Linked DNA regions of Notamacropus eugenii. The protein of the gene in region 1 purifies or fractionates together with the protein of each later gene. This does not show direct contact. Links are inferred from orthologs where the notes say so. Each region holds a gene or a part of one and is shown in the gene's direction. Other genes may lie near its edges.

Region 1 (7,325 bases):
GGCTATGAGTTGTCTCAATTAATATCTTTGCTGATTCCCTAGGATTGTCCAAGTAAAGTATATCATCTGCAAAGAGGGATAGCTTTATGTCTTCTTTATCTATTTCTATGCCTTTAGTTATCTTGTCTGATTGTTGCTGGCATTTCTGCTGTCACAGTTGCTGCTGCTTTTCCTGGTTGTTGCATTTATTCATTTCTCCTGCATTTCTGTTGTTTGGGGTATTTGAGAAGCAAATAAACACCTTAGATTTAGTATTTTTCCTAAGAATGTTTCAAACGCCTCTTTATTATGAATGTCCATCTTTTTCTTTCATGATTAAGCCAATATTTATAGTGTAGGTCACCATAGGTTGCATCCTGAGCTTCACTGCTCTTCAGAACACACTATTCCACTCCTTCCTATATTTTCTGGTGAGTACAGAATCGTCTTGTGTTACTCAGATTTCTTTTCCTTTGTATTTGAAGACCTTCTCTTGATCACTTGCAGAACTTGTTTCTGAAATGATGTGTCAGATTTAACTATCATATGTCTTGGAGTTTGTAGCCTTGGATATTTTTCTGGAGGTGACGAATTCATGAATATTTTTCAATTGCTATTTCATTTTCTATCACAGAAGGTCTGGATAATTTTTCTTCTATTATTTCTAGCATTGTGATGCTGAAGATTTTTGTGTCCTGTTATATTCTTCTAGGAGACTTTTGATCTTTAGGTTGTCTCTACATGGCCTGTCTTCAAGATCAGTATATTTTTCTTGCATAATAGTGAATATATGTTCTTTTAATGTGATTGTTTTTTGCTTTTCTTCTTCTATATTGTCCTTAACTTCTGTATTTTTGCATTTCCAATCTATTTTTCTCTCTTTTGTTTCTTTGGTGATACTTGCCATCATAAATACCAGTTTTTCTATTCTGCCCATTATTTTTGCTACACAACCATAAATTCTGCTTTAATTCATATTTCTCCTTTGAACCACTCAGGAATAGTGTGCTGTGATTCTATGTTGTCCTTACATTCCAAGGTCTTCTGTCTCATTAAGTGTTGGAACATTTTCCTTTGTTTTATAGTATTTATTCATGATTTGCTCTCTCTAAAAGCAATGTTCCCTTCTGTTGTTAGTGTTTTCCTTGTTGATTTATTTGCTTGTGTTCAAGGTCTTTGAGTTTTCATCTTCCTGAGTTCATTTCAGTCTTTTTTCCTTATTTTCCCCTATAGCTTACTTTCTGATTCTGCCCTCTTTGATGGTGGTTACTTTGGGGGCTAGATTTCAAAGTGCCCCAGCCTCCTCTTGCACTGTGCAATTCATGATTCATTAGCTGAGGTCTCTGCCTCAGGTGACCTTTGGGTTGACAGAAATGGCCATAGCTGGATGCTGAGCTCTTCTCTGTGGTTTAGTGAAATGCTACATGGTTCCTCTACTTTCATAGTATATTGTTTCAGTGTTTTGTTCCATTCCTTCTGTTCCTCCATTCTTTGATCTGATACTGTTAGTACAGAGCTTTGTGGTCTGGTGGTACAAGATAGTCTGTCATAGCACTGTCTGTCATGGCCCCCAGCAGGCTTCTGCTTCTGAAGGGCTCCCACTATACTGGCTGTCACAGCCCAAGAAAACTTATACAGCCTGGCGTCAGGGGCTCCAAAGCACTGGAAAAATGGAAGGGGGATGATAGTGTGGAGTTAGATTTTGTTGCAAGTCCATATGTCGGATGCTTGGGTTTTCTAGTGTAGCCTCACTGTCGTAGCATAGGAGGTGGGAAAAGGATGCTGAGTGAACTCAGGATAGGCACCAGGTCATGGTGCAGTTTTTTTTAACCTTCTTCTGGATTCTAGAGCATGGGAACAGTTGAAGTTGCTTTATTTTTGGTGCATAATTTCTGTTTTAGAGAGGTTTAAGAGGTTGTAAGGATAAGAAGAAACGTTTAGTTTTCCATCTTCCACTTCACTTGATACTTGAGTTGCCTTTCTCATTCATGAATTATCATCAATAGTTAGCTTTTATATAATGCTTTAAGGTTTCCAAAATGTTTTACATATGTAAGATGACTGGAATATGCACAGAATGGCACCATGACATGTAATGGAAATACCTTGGAGAAACTTGACCATACATTGACATTCTGGAACTGGCACTGGTCTGTTAACCATGTGGTTAAGAGAAGCCTTTTTTGTTTGCCTGTGTAGGTGGAACTGGAGATGTCTTCAGAAAGGTCAGAGTCAAACTGGGGTCTGTGACTTTTTAAAAAATATAGCAGTATTTCAGTATAATTTGGTTTTTTTTTTTATTTTGTGCATTTAAAGACATCATTCTGAAAGGGGCCCATAGAATTCACCAGTCTGGCAAGGAGGGCCCTAACCAAAAAAGATTAAAGACCCCGTTCTAGTCCCTTAATCATCATCATATTTGACTCCTCTCTGCTTGAAAAGTTCCAAGGAGAGGGAATCTACCACCTCCGGATGCTGCTCATTTCATTTTTGGATATTTATAATTATTAGGAGGTTTTTTCTGACATCAAGCCTAACTTTGCCTCTTTCTTTTATCCATTGTGTGTAGCTCTGTTCTAACCAAATAGATCAGTTCACAGCCATGCAAACTATTATTGTTTAAAATAACTTTTTATTGATAGCTCTTGTTTTTATGCTGTTTATATTTACCAATATAAAAGAAGCTATCTTTTATAACAAAGAATAAGAGGGAGGGAAAACTGGGAAAACTAAAAAACTTATCAAAAATATCTACATTAATATGCAGTATTCCATATACCTAGTCCTTCAGCTCTGTAAATACTAACTCTTAAATATACTCCCACTTAACTGACACCTAAGGCAACAGGTTCCAATACTGGGAGCTAACTCAAAAGATCAACCTCTCTTTGGTCCCTCCCGGAGTTTATTCTATGAAACTCTAGAATACAGGGGTTCCCCACACTAACGTCTAGAAGAGAAATATGAGTAAAAAGTATCTATTTTTTTTTACTTATCACTATCCTTTTAACCTGAATAAGCACGAACATTAACGTACATTTACTTAGCTTTTAAGTGAACGCTTCTTTCGTAGAAGTGAATGAATTCGCTGAATTTGAATGAATTTCAAAATTGTAACATAATTAGTTCATAATGATTACAGGATGTGATAAAAAGACATAGATCATCTGATAACTGTTCTCAGAATTGCTGTTATTTTTCACACTGTCTTCATTTTATTTTCCTTGTTCACAACTCCTAAAGGCACGTTACTGGGGTATTTGTGTCCGTGTCATAAACTGACTTCACTGACTTTTACTGCAATTGCAATAGTTACAGCGTTTAGTAGATATTTCGCAGTAAAGCCCTTCACCACCGATCTCCAGCCTATCTTTCCAGGCTGACTGCGCTTCTCCTCACAACTCCGTGCTGCCGTTCCATGTGTATGTGACCTGCGCGCTGTCCTCTCGTACACGGCGCTCCATCTCCTGTCTCTCGTTCCCGGAGCGGTGGCCCCTTCACCTCTGCCTCTTGTAAAGGGTCACCTTCTCCAAGAGGCTTTTCCTCTCCTCTTCGCTAAAATCAGCCCACCTTTAGTTTGGTACGCTCGGCCCAGGTCAGGGGCTACCTTGCCCGTCTGCCGAGCTCAAGCACCTAGAACAGCTGCTAGCACGGACTAAGTCCTTAACTCGGGCTTGTTTCTAACAGAACTGAACTGGTCCGTTAAGGTTCGCGTGAAAATCCGGTCCCGTCAAGGAGACGGGAACCAGAGGACCACAGCTAGAACCCCTTCTTCTGCGTCTTGGCCAAGAGGGGGAGGGCAGCCTTCGTCATCACTGACGTTCCTCACGTTGCTAACATACTGTAGTTACTGTTTCAGCCTGGAAAAAAAATCCTGGGATTTCCGGACCCAGGCGACCACCTGGGGCAACCTCCGCTGTGTGGACAGAGGAGGACACCGAGGCTTAGCTTGCCCAAGGTCACGTGACGGAGGCGCGGCAGGTGGACCTTTTCCAGGGTCCGTGTTCTTTCCCTGAAAAGTCCGAGTTTCTCTTCGCACAATACGTGGCACGCAGTCTTATGAAAGGCAACCTTCATGCTCACAAGAAAGTGCCCCGGTGCAGGCTGCGGGACTCGGGTCCGATGTCCAAGGTCCTCCCCCAAGGGATCGGCCACAAACGGACATCGGCCCCGCCTCCAGAGAAATAACGGGCTCTCCCGAGCGGTAGCCCCTCCCACCCACGACGGTGGCTCCCCCTATTGGCTTCCTTCCCCCAATTATCCCCGCCCACCCCTGCGTCTTTTGCGTCTTTGGTCACGTTTCCCGCCCCCATGCCACTTAAGCGCACGCGCAACTTTTCTTTCCGCTTTCCTTCTTCCGCTGCAGTAGGAGCCATTTCGCGACGGGCTGCGCGCGGCTGGCTGTGTGTCTGTGGGGCCTCTCTGAAGGAACCGAGCCACGCGCGACTTTCGGAAGAGCAGCTCTTGGGGACACGGGGAAAAAGGCGGTAAGAAAGGGGAGTCATTCCCGTCTTTGGACGCGGCGAGGATGAGTGGGCGGAGACTGTTTTGTTTTGTTTTGGTTTTTTTTTTTTTTTTTTTTTTTTTTTTTTTTGCTCCTCTGCAGTTACCGCTTTGTCGCTTAGCGCGGGTGAGGGGGAAGGGTGGGGGTGGGGTAGCCTTCGCAGTGTCCCGGATGTTACTGTGCATGCGCGTTCTCGTCCTTGTGCGCATGCGTCAGGAGGGAACTCCGCTCACCCAATTCAGTAGCCTTTTTACTACCTCCAGTTTGTGTAAGAGAAGTGAACGTATGTTTTGGGAATCAGGTACCTTCGCCGTTTATTCTTTCTCCCAGATAAACAAGCGAACTTGTGTTTCTCTAGTCTTCCATAATGACACTGTTCGTCGCCATGAGCTCCCAGTCTCCAACTTGGGCACAGTAACAGACTCCCGTAGTTGTGGCTCCTGCCACTTTCTCACTACTTGGGCCTGGTCGTTGTGTGATCTTCCTTTTTTTAATACCTGAGTGTGACCCACGATCCGCTTAGCTTGCGCTTTGTGAATCTTGAGGTCCGTAGTAGGTCTAGATTTGCCACGGGCCACGCACACCTTGGCCGAGCTCTTCCTTATTAATTTTGAGGCAGTTTTATGGGTCAGCAGTCCTGGTCGCCGTTGGTTTGGCAGCTGACCAGATACAGATGATAGTTATAAGACTTGGGTGCACATTTTCTCTACCTGTAACTTTTAAGAAAGGCCTGTGACTCAGCATCTTCAGATACCAATGTTGTACGGTCAGGTTTTTGGCATATAAGAAGCCATTGTATCTTTTACGGTGGAGACTACCATAAAAACCTTATTTTCCCAGAAGAAAACCTCTTATACATATTGCGAATTTGCAAACAAGTTAAAGGATGATTACCTGTAAACTAATCATAGGTCATAGAGCTGGAAAGGGATTTCTGGATGATACCTAGTTGAGTGCCACCCTTTCCCCTAGGGCTTACAGTGATTTCTCCAAGGCCTCTCAGCCAGAGAGAAAATGGAATCCAGTGTCTTTTGGCACAGAATTCAATTGATTACTTCACCCATTATGTACCATGGGTATCTTGTTTTTCGTTCCCCAAGTACATTAAAAATATTTCAGTAAATGTGTTTCTGATTACTCAGGAGTGTGAAAGGAATGGGACTTCTAGTGTTACACTGGAGGAGGAGCTTGCTAATTGTCCATAATCTGTAGTTCATGTACTTAATTTCCTAAATGTAATATGTGCCTAGACATACCTTAAGTCTTAAGGCAGAATGAAGTACATAGTTGGATAACACAAGATGTTCTGTATACATTTTAAAAAATTTTACCAAGTTTGTATTTATTTGTGTGTTGAAGTATCTTGCTCTGTTCCTTTGTATATGATGATATGCATTTCGCTGGTGTTTTGAATTTATTTTTGACTTTTTCTTTCTCAAGGTTTAACAAGACATTTACATCATGGGTGATGTCAAAAATTTCCTGTATGCATGGTGTGGGAAAAGGAAAATGACTCCAACCTATGAAATAAGAGCCGTGGGGAATAAGAACAGACAGAAATTCATGTGTGAGGTACTAAAACAATATAATTCTTTATGTGATTTATAAGAAATAAAGTTTATATTCAAGGAAGGGAAATTCTATCTTTGAAAATAATTATGCGAAATATAGTTAGGAAGTGAGGTGTAGGGGGTAAGAGTGTATGTGTGTGTCTGTCTACTTGCTGAACTATGTTGATAAGAGGTTTATACCAGCTTAGACATATTTAAATATGGACTCCCTTGTCCATACCAGTAGGGCAGAACAAAGGAATTGAGGCTAATGAAAGTGCAACAGTTTATCAGCTATATGCTCACTTGTTCTATTAACTATTTCCGGAGTTGGAGCACTACTGATGTACTATATACATAAGTGCTTGCTTTGTAATATATAAAGAAAGCTTTCTTCATGAAATTATCCAAATTTTGCTACTGAATATGCTACTATATGAGTACAGAGGATCTAGATTTTATTGTGTGGTAATTTTTTCCCTAGCCAAATGCTGTATGTGATTATTCAAGCACCTATACGAGTGGAGCTGTGTATTTGCCAAGGGTTTGTAGAGAGCTATTCTAGAGATTTGTTATTGTTAGACATTTGCTGATGTCCAGATTCTTTATTAACTCTTGAAGTAATTTTTTTTCTGTTTCAGGTTCGAGTGGAAGGTTTTAATTATACTGGCATGGGCAATTCCACCAATAAGAAAGATGCTCAGAGCAATGCTGCCAGAGATTTTGTTAACTACTTGGTTCGAGTGAATGAAGTTAAGAGTGAGGAAGTTCCAGCTATTGGAGTAAGTATAAAATTACTCTGCCTCAATTATGTGAGGAAACTCCAGGATACTAATTTTGTCTACTTTGAAGCATTTAAAATTTTCCTTCAGATACTTTAACATTGCTCCAAACAGTAGCAGGGTCCTGAACTAGGTTTCAGAAGTTTTAAGTTTTGTTCTACTTTGGTATTTACCTGCTTTGTTATCTTGAGGAAATCCTTGAATTCCTCTCTTATAGTTGCACATTATCAAGGTAATTTTTATTAAGAGCTTCATTATGAGTTAGCAAAAAGGTATTTTTATTATGAACAAAATAGTAATCCCCTTTCGATTTTAGGGGTTTTTCTGTGTATCTATCCATGTATTTAATGTGATTGGGGATAAACATTTATTCTATTCTGTTAAACTGTTAACTTTTTGCTGGTACTTTTTTAAGTATAAGCGCTTTCCATCTTTATTAATATAGTTATCATTATTCTCCCAAACCCAACCCCTTCCTAGCTTCTGTTTACCTAAGTGATACCACTATCC
Region 2 (7,267 bases), on another chromosome or scaffold:
CACAACTGGAGCGTGTGCTCCTCTTCCCTTACAACGCAGCTCTTTCCCCCACCCTCTACCACAGACTCCTAACCTGTGGCCCCTGTTAGCTCCCTTGGGGGTCTTTAATAGCAGGGGCACCAGGACCCATGGTCAGAAGGACAAAAAACGCACTGCTCTAAGGCTCCTGCCTCTGGATGGAGGCAGGGGTTATTGGTTTAAAGGGGAGGATGCTCAGACTTGGTCTCTGGAAGCATGGCTGCATGGGACCACAGTGGGCAGTTTTGGCCAGACACTCCTTCTGGGGGCAGTGGAATCCCCTAAGATCTTTCCTTCAGAAAACCAGGGACTTTTCTATTTGGGGCTGTTCAGTTCCTGGGGGTTGTCTCTTAGCCAAGCAGGCTGAGTGTGACTCCCTGTTTTTAAGTCCATTTCATTAAAAGTAGGGGGAAACACATTTAATTGCCATTTTCTAAAGGATAAACTTGGTGGAGAGGCTGAGGGGAGTGTTTCTTGCTCCCAAGAGCCCAAAGGGGCAGGTGGGAGGCTTTGCTTAGGCCATGGGAGGAGTGGAGGTGGGGCAGCTAGGTCCTGAGAGTGCTTTTCCCACTTCCCACTTCTGCCAGGACATACATTATTTTTCTTTTTCAAGTCAGAAAACAATGCGAGAACGGATTTGGTTAGTTTAGAAGAAAAGAAAAAAGCTCTATAAATATAAATATATATTCATGTATTTTTATTTAATAATTTATAAATACTGGGTTCATTTGACTTTTATTTTTGTGTAATATGTAATGGTCGTATTAAGAAATAAAATCCAGAAGTTTAATGAGGACTGAACAGGGTTGTGACTTCTGCATTGACAACTGGAAGGATGGGGTGGGTGGGTACTGGCCTCACTCCCAAACAACTTTTTGTGATTTTGTTAGGAGAAGGAATTAGGGCAAGAGGGATGTGGGAAGTGCTCCAAGTAAGCTTCGGGGTTTCTGATTAAGAATTAATCTAGTAGGGCCTCTCCTTCCATCCATATGACCTAAGCCAGTCTTTCTTGGACAACAAGGGCCTGGGCAAGTCCTGGCCTTTCCCAAGCATACTTTTCTGTCTCATCCTCTCCTTCCCTGCCACCTCCCTTCACCCCCAGCTATCATTCTCAGGCCTTAAACTTCAGTTTGGGGGATTATTTCTGCTTGAATGTTCTGTTGAGAGTCAGAGTGGTACAGCAAACAGCTGACTGAGGCAGCCAAGTCTGGCTTTTGTTGCATGCTCTTTGTGGCTTTGGGGAAGTCAGCTAACCCTCTCAGTGGCCCAGGAAACTCTTGAGACTATAGGTTTCAGAACAGTTATCCATCTGCATTACCAACGAAATCACAGTCTGGATTACAAAAAAATGCTGCTGCTTGTTTTATATTAAATTCAGTTATGAAAAAAATAGAGTTTTGTTCCTTCTCCAATTCCCAGAATCAATGGATCCTTGTCATTCTACATGTAAGCCATAGACTATACATAGTCTGTTCCTCTGCTTCTACACGGGGCTTTTTCAAAACCATTTCTGACAAAAATCGAATTTCAAAAATCTTCAGACAACAATATTCCAGTCTTTTATGTAATATAGTGTTACCCTCCCCCGCTCTGAAGCTCTGAACATTCATCCTCATTATAGTTAGGAAATCCTTTCATTTGTCTCGACTGCCTCTTTTGCCTCCCTCATCAACTCCCCCAAACTTCAGATTCCAGCCAAGTCTTCCTGCATCTTTCCTTCACTCCTTCTTGACCACCTGCCTCCTCTTGCCTCTTCCCAGTGTTCAAACTGTTGCTTACAACAACCTCCCACTGTACATCTGACCAGCTCTATTTCCAGTAGTTCAACTGTCACCTTTCTACCATCTCAGGATCTCTTCACTTCCCCAGAAAGTGTTTATTTCTCGCCATTAATTGTTGACTTCAACAAACATTTGTTAAGCCAAGTCCTTAATTAATATGCTAGAAGTTGGGGAAACAAATATGAAATAAAATAGCCCTTATACTTAAGGACCTTGTAATCTAGTAGGCAAGTAAAAATTTCATGATTATCTTTTTGAGGTTTTTCATATGGTGTTGACTGCACTAAAAGTAGTATCTAATGAGGTTGTAGTACCATACATTCTGTGCATCCATTGTGTTTCTCTCTGATACAAACTCTTTAATACGGAGTGTGAGTAAAAACTTTTCCAAATTCATTATACTCTTAAGAGAGGATCTGTTTCAATATCAATGCATTTCTGCTTTCCCTGCTTGCTTTATACTGTGAACTCCTTTGTTTAGACTGGTTTGCATCCTTACTCAAGCCTATAGCTAAGGTCAGTTTTATTCTTAGGTTTTAAGGTACATGCTCAGTCAATCAACGTTTGCCAGTTGTGCTAAGCTGTTCAACTTGATGAATTTTGTCTTTGTATGATATTTAACGGACTTTATTTCTAATCTCTTCCTTTACCATCCATATCATCTTAGTAGGTCTTCATGAGTGTAGGCAGGGCCAAAGAAAGTTCACTGGGTGGTCAGCCTTCTGGTGAGGAGCCTCTTGGCTAGAGGTCTGTCTGGTTGTCAGACCCATTCTGAAAGCCTCCTGCTTTGGTTAGACCTGCCAGAGCCCTGCTCTAGTCACAGTGTTTGGGAAGCCTGGCTCAGCTCAGTGCCACCGGGCCCAGCTCAGTGCCACCGGGCTCAGCTCAGTGCCACCGGGCCCAGCTCAGTGCCACCCGGCCCAGCTCAGTGCCACCGGGCCCAGCTCAGTGCCGCTCGGCTCAGTGCCACCCAGCTTGGCTTGGCTCAGTGCCACCGGGCTCAGCTCAGTGTCACCCGGTTCAGCTCTGTGCCACCAGGCTCAGCTCAGTGCCACCGGGCCCAGCTCAGTGCCACCCAGCTTGGCTCGGCTCAGTGCCACCCGGCTCGGCTCAGTGTCACCCGGTTCGGCTCTGTGCCACCGGGCTCGGCTCTGTGCCACCGGGCCCAGCTCAGTGCCACCCGGTTCAGCTCTGTGCCACCGGGTTCAGCTCAGTGTCACCCGGTTCAGCTCTGTGCCACCGGGCCCAGCTCAGTGCCACCGGGCCCAGCTCAGTGCCACCCGGCTCAGCTCAGTGTCACCCGGCTCAGCTCAGTGTCACCCGGTTCAGCTCTGTGCCACCGGGCCCAGCTCAGTGCCACCGGGCCCAGCTCAGTGCCACCCGGCTCAGCTCAGTGCCACCCGGCTCAGCTCAGTGCCACCGGGCCCAGCTCAGTGCCACCCGGCTCAGCTCAGTGCCACCGGGCCCAGCTCAGTGCCACCCGGCTCAGCTCAGTGCCACCGGGCCCAGCTCAGTGCCACCCGGCTCAGCTCAGTGCCACCCGGCTCAGCTCAGTGCCACCCGGCTCAGCTCAGTGCCACCGGGCCCAGCTCAGTGCCACCCGGCTCAGCTCAGTGCCACCGGGCCCAGCTCAGTGCCACCCGGCTCAGCTCAGTGCCACCGGGCCCAGCTCAGTGCCACCGGGCCCAGCTCAGTGCCACCCGGCTCAGCTCAGTGCCACCAGGCCGCCCTGCCAGGGCTCTGCAGGATGAAGGCATTGTAGGCCGTGCTGAGGTGAAGCCCTAGGCCCAGTGGGCACGCCTCTGAGAACGCTCGGGTTTAGCTCTGCCAGGTCTGCGTGCCGGCTCCGTACTGCGAAGAGGGCGGACTTGGGCAGGGAACGGGCCGCGTGCCTGCCGCACGCCAGGGGGCCTCTCGAGGCCTTCTCGTGGTGGCAGTGGTGGCAGGCCAGGCGGCGCTGTTGTGTCCGGGGGAGGCTGGCGGAGGCCGGGGCGGGGCGGGCGCTGCCGAGGCGGCGCTCGGGGGCTCGGGCCTGGCCTCGCCGCGCTGCCCTTCTCAGGGTTCGCTTGCCCTCAGACTGACTGAGGGAAGCAAGATGGCGGCGCCCTCACATTCGATCATATGACCCGGGGTCCCGTGCTCTGAGTGGGACGGTCCGTTTGGCTGGAGCGGTCACGTGTTGTAACCTAGGTCGGAGCCCTTCGAAGCCCTGGGGCCAATGGGCAGCCGAGCTTCGGCTAGGCTTGCGGGCGGGCTGCGTGAGGTTCCGTTCCGCCTTTCGTGGTTAGCGGCCAATCGCACGGCACGGCGAGATGAGCGCGGAGGGGCGCGGCCCATAGGGAGACCGTTGGGGATGGCGTCACAGCGTGGCAGGATTGTGACCTAATGACGGGGGGAGGCGGGACCGACGTTGACTGACAGGCACGTTCCCCTACTGAGATTCGAGGATTTGGCTAGCTGCCCCGCCTTAGAGGCGTGGTCTTGTTTGACTGCCAAGTATTTCTACCCAATGGACTCCGAGCGCCCGGTGACGGGCAGGCTGCTTGACTAATGAGCCCCCAGCGTGGCCGGCGCGGCTCTCCAATCGCCGGGCGGCGGGCCCCAGTCTGAGCGGCTATGGCGGCGGCGGCGGCGGCGGCAGCAGCAGCGGGGGCTGCGGGCGGTCGAGGCTCCGGGCCGGGGCGGCGGCGCCATCTTGTGCCCGGGGCCGGGGGGGAACCCGGGGAGGGGGCCCCGGGCGGCGCGGGGGACTACGGGAACGGGCTGGAGGCGGAGGAGCTGGAGCCTGAAGAATTGCTGCTAGAGCCAGAGCCCGAGCCCGAGCCCGAGGAGGAGCCGCCCCGGCCCCGCGCCCCCCCGGGAGCCTCCGGCCCTGGGCCCGGCGCAGGAGCCCCCGGCAGTCAGGAGGAGGAAGAAGAGCCGGGCCTGGTGGAGGGCGACCCGGGGGACGGCGCTATCGAGGACCCGGTGAGGACGGGGGCTCGGGCGGGAGGTCGGGGTCATGGGGGAAGGGCCTGCGGCCCGGGGCAGGCGAGGGGCCGCCGTGGCGGAGGCCGGCGGGGGAGGGGGCGGGCGGGTCGTGGGCGGGGAATTACGCGGAGCTGGGCGGGACGGGACGGACTCGGAGTGCTGGCTGGCTGGCGGCGGCGGCGGCGGCGGGCGGGAGGCCGAGGCTGGGGCCCAGGCCGGAGCCGGAGCCGGAGCCGGACGCGGTGGGGCCCGGGCCGGGCCGAGGCGGGGTGGGGCGGGGGCCGTCCCCTCCCGGCTCGGCTGAGCCCGCTCTCCCACCCCGCCCTCCCCAGGAGCTGGAGGCCATCAAAGCCCGAGTAAGGGAGATGGAGGAAGAGGCGGAGAAGCTGAAGGAGCTTCAGAACGAGGTGGAGAAGCAGATGAACATGAGCCCCCCCCCAGGCAATGGTGAGCGGGGGGGGGGGGGGGGGGGGGGGGGGGGGGCGGGGAGGGGGAGGGGCGGGGCCGCCGCCCGTGACCTTGCGCCCTCGCCCGCACTCCACGGGCCTGGGGAGGGCCTTTAATGCCCGGGGGGGGCGCTGGAGGGGCTGGGGGCCGCTGGGAGCCGGGCATCGCTCGTGTTTTGTAGCCGGCCCAGTGATCATGTCCATCGAGGAGAAGATGGAGGCCGACGCCCGCTCCATCTACGTGGGCAACGTGAGTGGCCGCGCTGCGGGGCTTCGGGGAGGGGGCGGGGCCCGGCGGGGGGGTGGCACCGGGGGCCTCCGCCCCCCGTGCCAGGGCTGGGGCCCGGCCTGTGGGTGAAGTGGGGCTCTGTGTGCCCAGGTGGACTACGGCGCGACAGCGGAAGAGCTGGAGGCCCATTTCCATGGCTGTGGTTCCGTTAACCGAGTCACCATCCTTTGTGACAAGTTCAGCGGCCACCCCAAGGGGTGAGTGGGGGGTCCCCGCGGTGCGCCCTGGGCAGCGCCGACAGGGAGCGTCCTGCCCTCTGTGCTTAGGGTGGCAGGGGCCCCCTGCGGGGAGCTGACGCGCCAGCCTTGGGGGTGAGGGCACGCTGAACGCCCGCCTCCGTGTCTCCCCTCCAGCTTCGCTTATATAGAATTTTCAGATAAAGATTCAGTGAGGACGTCGATGGCCTTGGACGACTCTCTCTTCCGAGGAAGACAGATCAAAGTGAGCGCTTCCTGCCCCGGTTCGGGAGGTCTCCAGGACCGAGGGCTGCCCCTAACCTGCCTTGGCCTTTGCGTTGGCTCAGGTGATCCCCAAACGGACCAATCGACCGGGAATCAGCACCACGGATCGGGGCTTTCCTCGTGCCCGCTATCGTGCCAGGGCTACCAACTACAGCAGTTCACGCTCTCGATTCTATAGTGGCTTCAACAGCAGACCCCGGGGCCGAGTCTACAGGTCAGGATAGATGGGCTGCTCCCGCCTCCTTCCCTCTGGGCCTCGTGCCCTCCTCCCTAGAGGAGCTGCCAGCCTGGGCTGGGGGGCAGTGGCGGGGGGAGGCGTCCCTCCTAGGCTTGTTAGTAGGAGGGCTTCAGGGGAGGCCTGGGTCGAACCGGGTCTTAGTGCCCCTTCTGGGAAGGGGGAGGGGCGGGATGGACTTTGTTTCCCTCAGGTGGTGGGAAGGCATTGGGCAGTGTCAGTCCGAGTGGATCTGCCCAGCCCTGCTGAGGGTGCTGGAGTTAGGGTGGCCAGCTTTTGTCAGGGTTTTAGGGGTGCTCGTTCCCTTAGTGTCTGGATGCTTGTTGCCTTGAGATCCTAGGTCAGCTCCTTTACTTTAGTCTCCCTGACGTGTCTAGGGGAAGTTAAGCATCCTAGTGAGCCCCTAGGAGCTCAGAAGAGCTGCTGTTCCTGGTGCCTGGAGAGTTGGGGAAGGGGCTGGGGGGTGATGGGGAAATCCCCTGCCAGGGCAGCAGGAGCGCTTTTGGGGAGAGTGTTTGGAACCTGAGCCTGTCCTCAGTCTTGTTCTCGCTCCTTACTGGGCCGTGCTCTGGGCAGCTTCCCCTCCGCTGGCATGTGCCCTCTGGTGGGACCTGAAGCCTTTCCCCTGAGAGGGAGCTGGAGTTGGACCAGGAGGACCAGGGGAGGGGGCTGTGCTGAGGTGTCCCTTAACCATGTTTACACCCAACTCTCCTTCTTTTTTCTAGGGGCCGGGCTAGAGCGACGTCATGGTATTCCCCTTACTAAAAAACACAAAAAAACAAAAAAAAAACCAAACCAAAAAAACAAAAAAGTGTGTATTAGGAGGAGAGAGAGGAAAAAAAGGAAAGAAGGAAAAAGGAATTAAAAAAAAGAAAAACAGAAGATGACCTTGATGGAAAAAAAATATTTTTAAAAAAAAAGATATACTGTGGAAGGGGGGAGAATCCCATAACTAACTGCTGAGGAGGGACCTGCTTCTGAGGGTCTGGTCAGGGCAAGGGCCCCCCCCAACCCCCGGGGAATGGGACAGGGGGCTGCTCATTCATTCTGGGGGTTCGACATGGACA

The links. Proteins that work in one complex are often made in the same cells at the same time.
Region 2: the proteins of DHX9 (region 1) and polyadenylate-binding protein 2 purify together in Homo sapiens (affinity purification with mass spectrometry; 4 studies listed by BioGRID and IntAct, with this or other methods). This does not show direct contact. The link is inferred for Notamacropus eugenii from reciprocal best matches to the Homo sapiens genes DHX9 and PABPN1.

The regions. Positions count from the first base shown.
Region 1 is NC_092873.1:462,361,168-462,368,492, reverse strand, and holds the start of DHX9 (ATP-dependent RNA helicase A), read left to right. Parts: upstream 1-4,314; 5' UTR 4,315-4,466; intron 4,467-5,923; 5' UTR 5,924-5,944; coding exon 5,945-6,055; intron 6,056-6,674; coding exon 6,675-6,815; intron 6,816-7,325. UniProt on the Homo sapiens protein: Multifunctional ATP-dependent nucleic acid helicase that unwinds DNA and RNA in a 3' to 5' direction and that plays important roles in many processes, such as DNA replication, transcriptional activation, post-transcriptional RNA regulation, mRNA translation and RNA-mediated gene silencing.
Region 2 is NC_092878.1:9,833,311-9,840,577, reverse strand, and holds the start of polyadenylate-binding protein 2, read left to right. Parts: upstream 1-4,260; 5' UTR 4,261-4,415; coding exon 4,416-4,766; intron 4,767-4,884; exon of another isoform or gene 4,885-5,011; intron 5,012-5,101; coding exon 5,102-5,216; intron 5,217-5,397; coding exon 5,398-5,465; intron 5,466-5,594; coding exon 5,595-5,701; intron 5,702-5,857; coding exon 5,858-5,945; intron 5,946-6,027; coding exon 6,028-6,179; intron 6,180-6,925; coding exon 6,926-6,965; 3' UTR 6,966-7,267.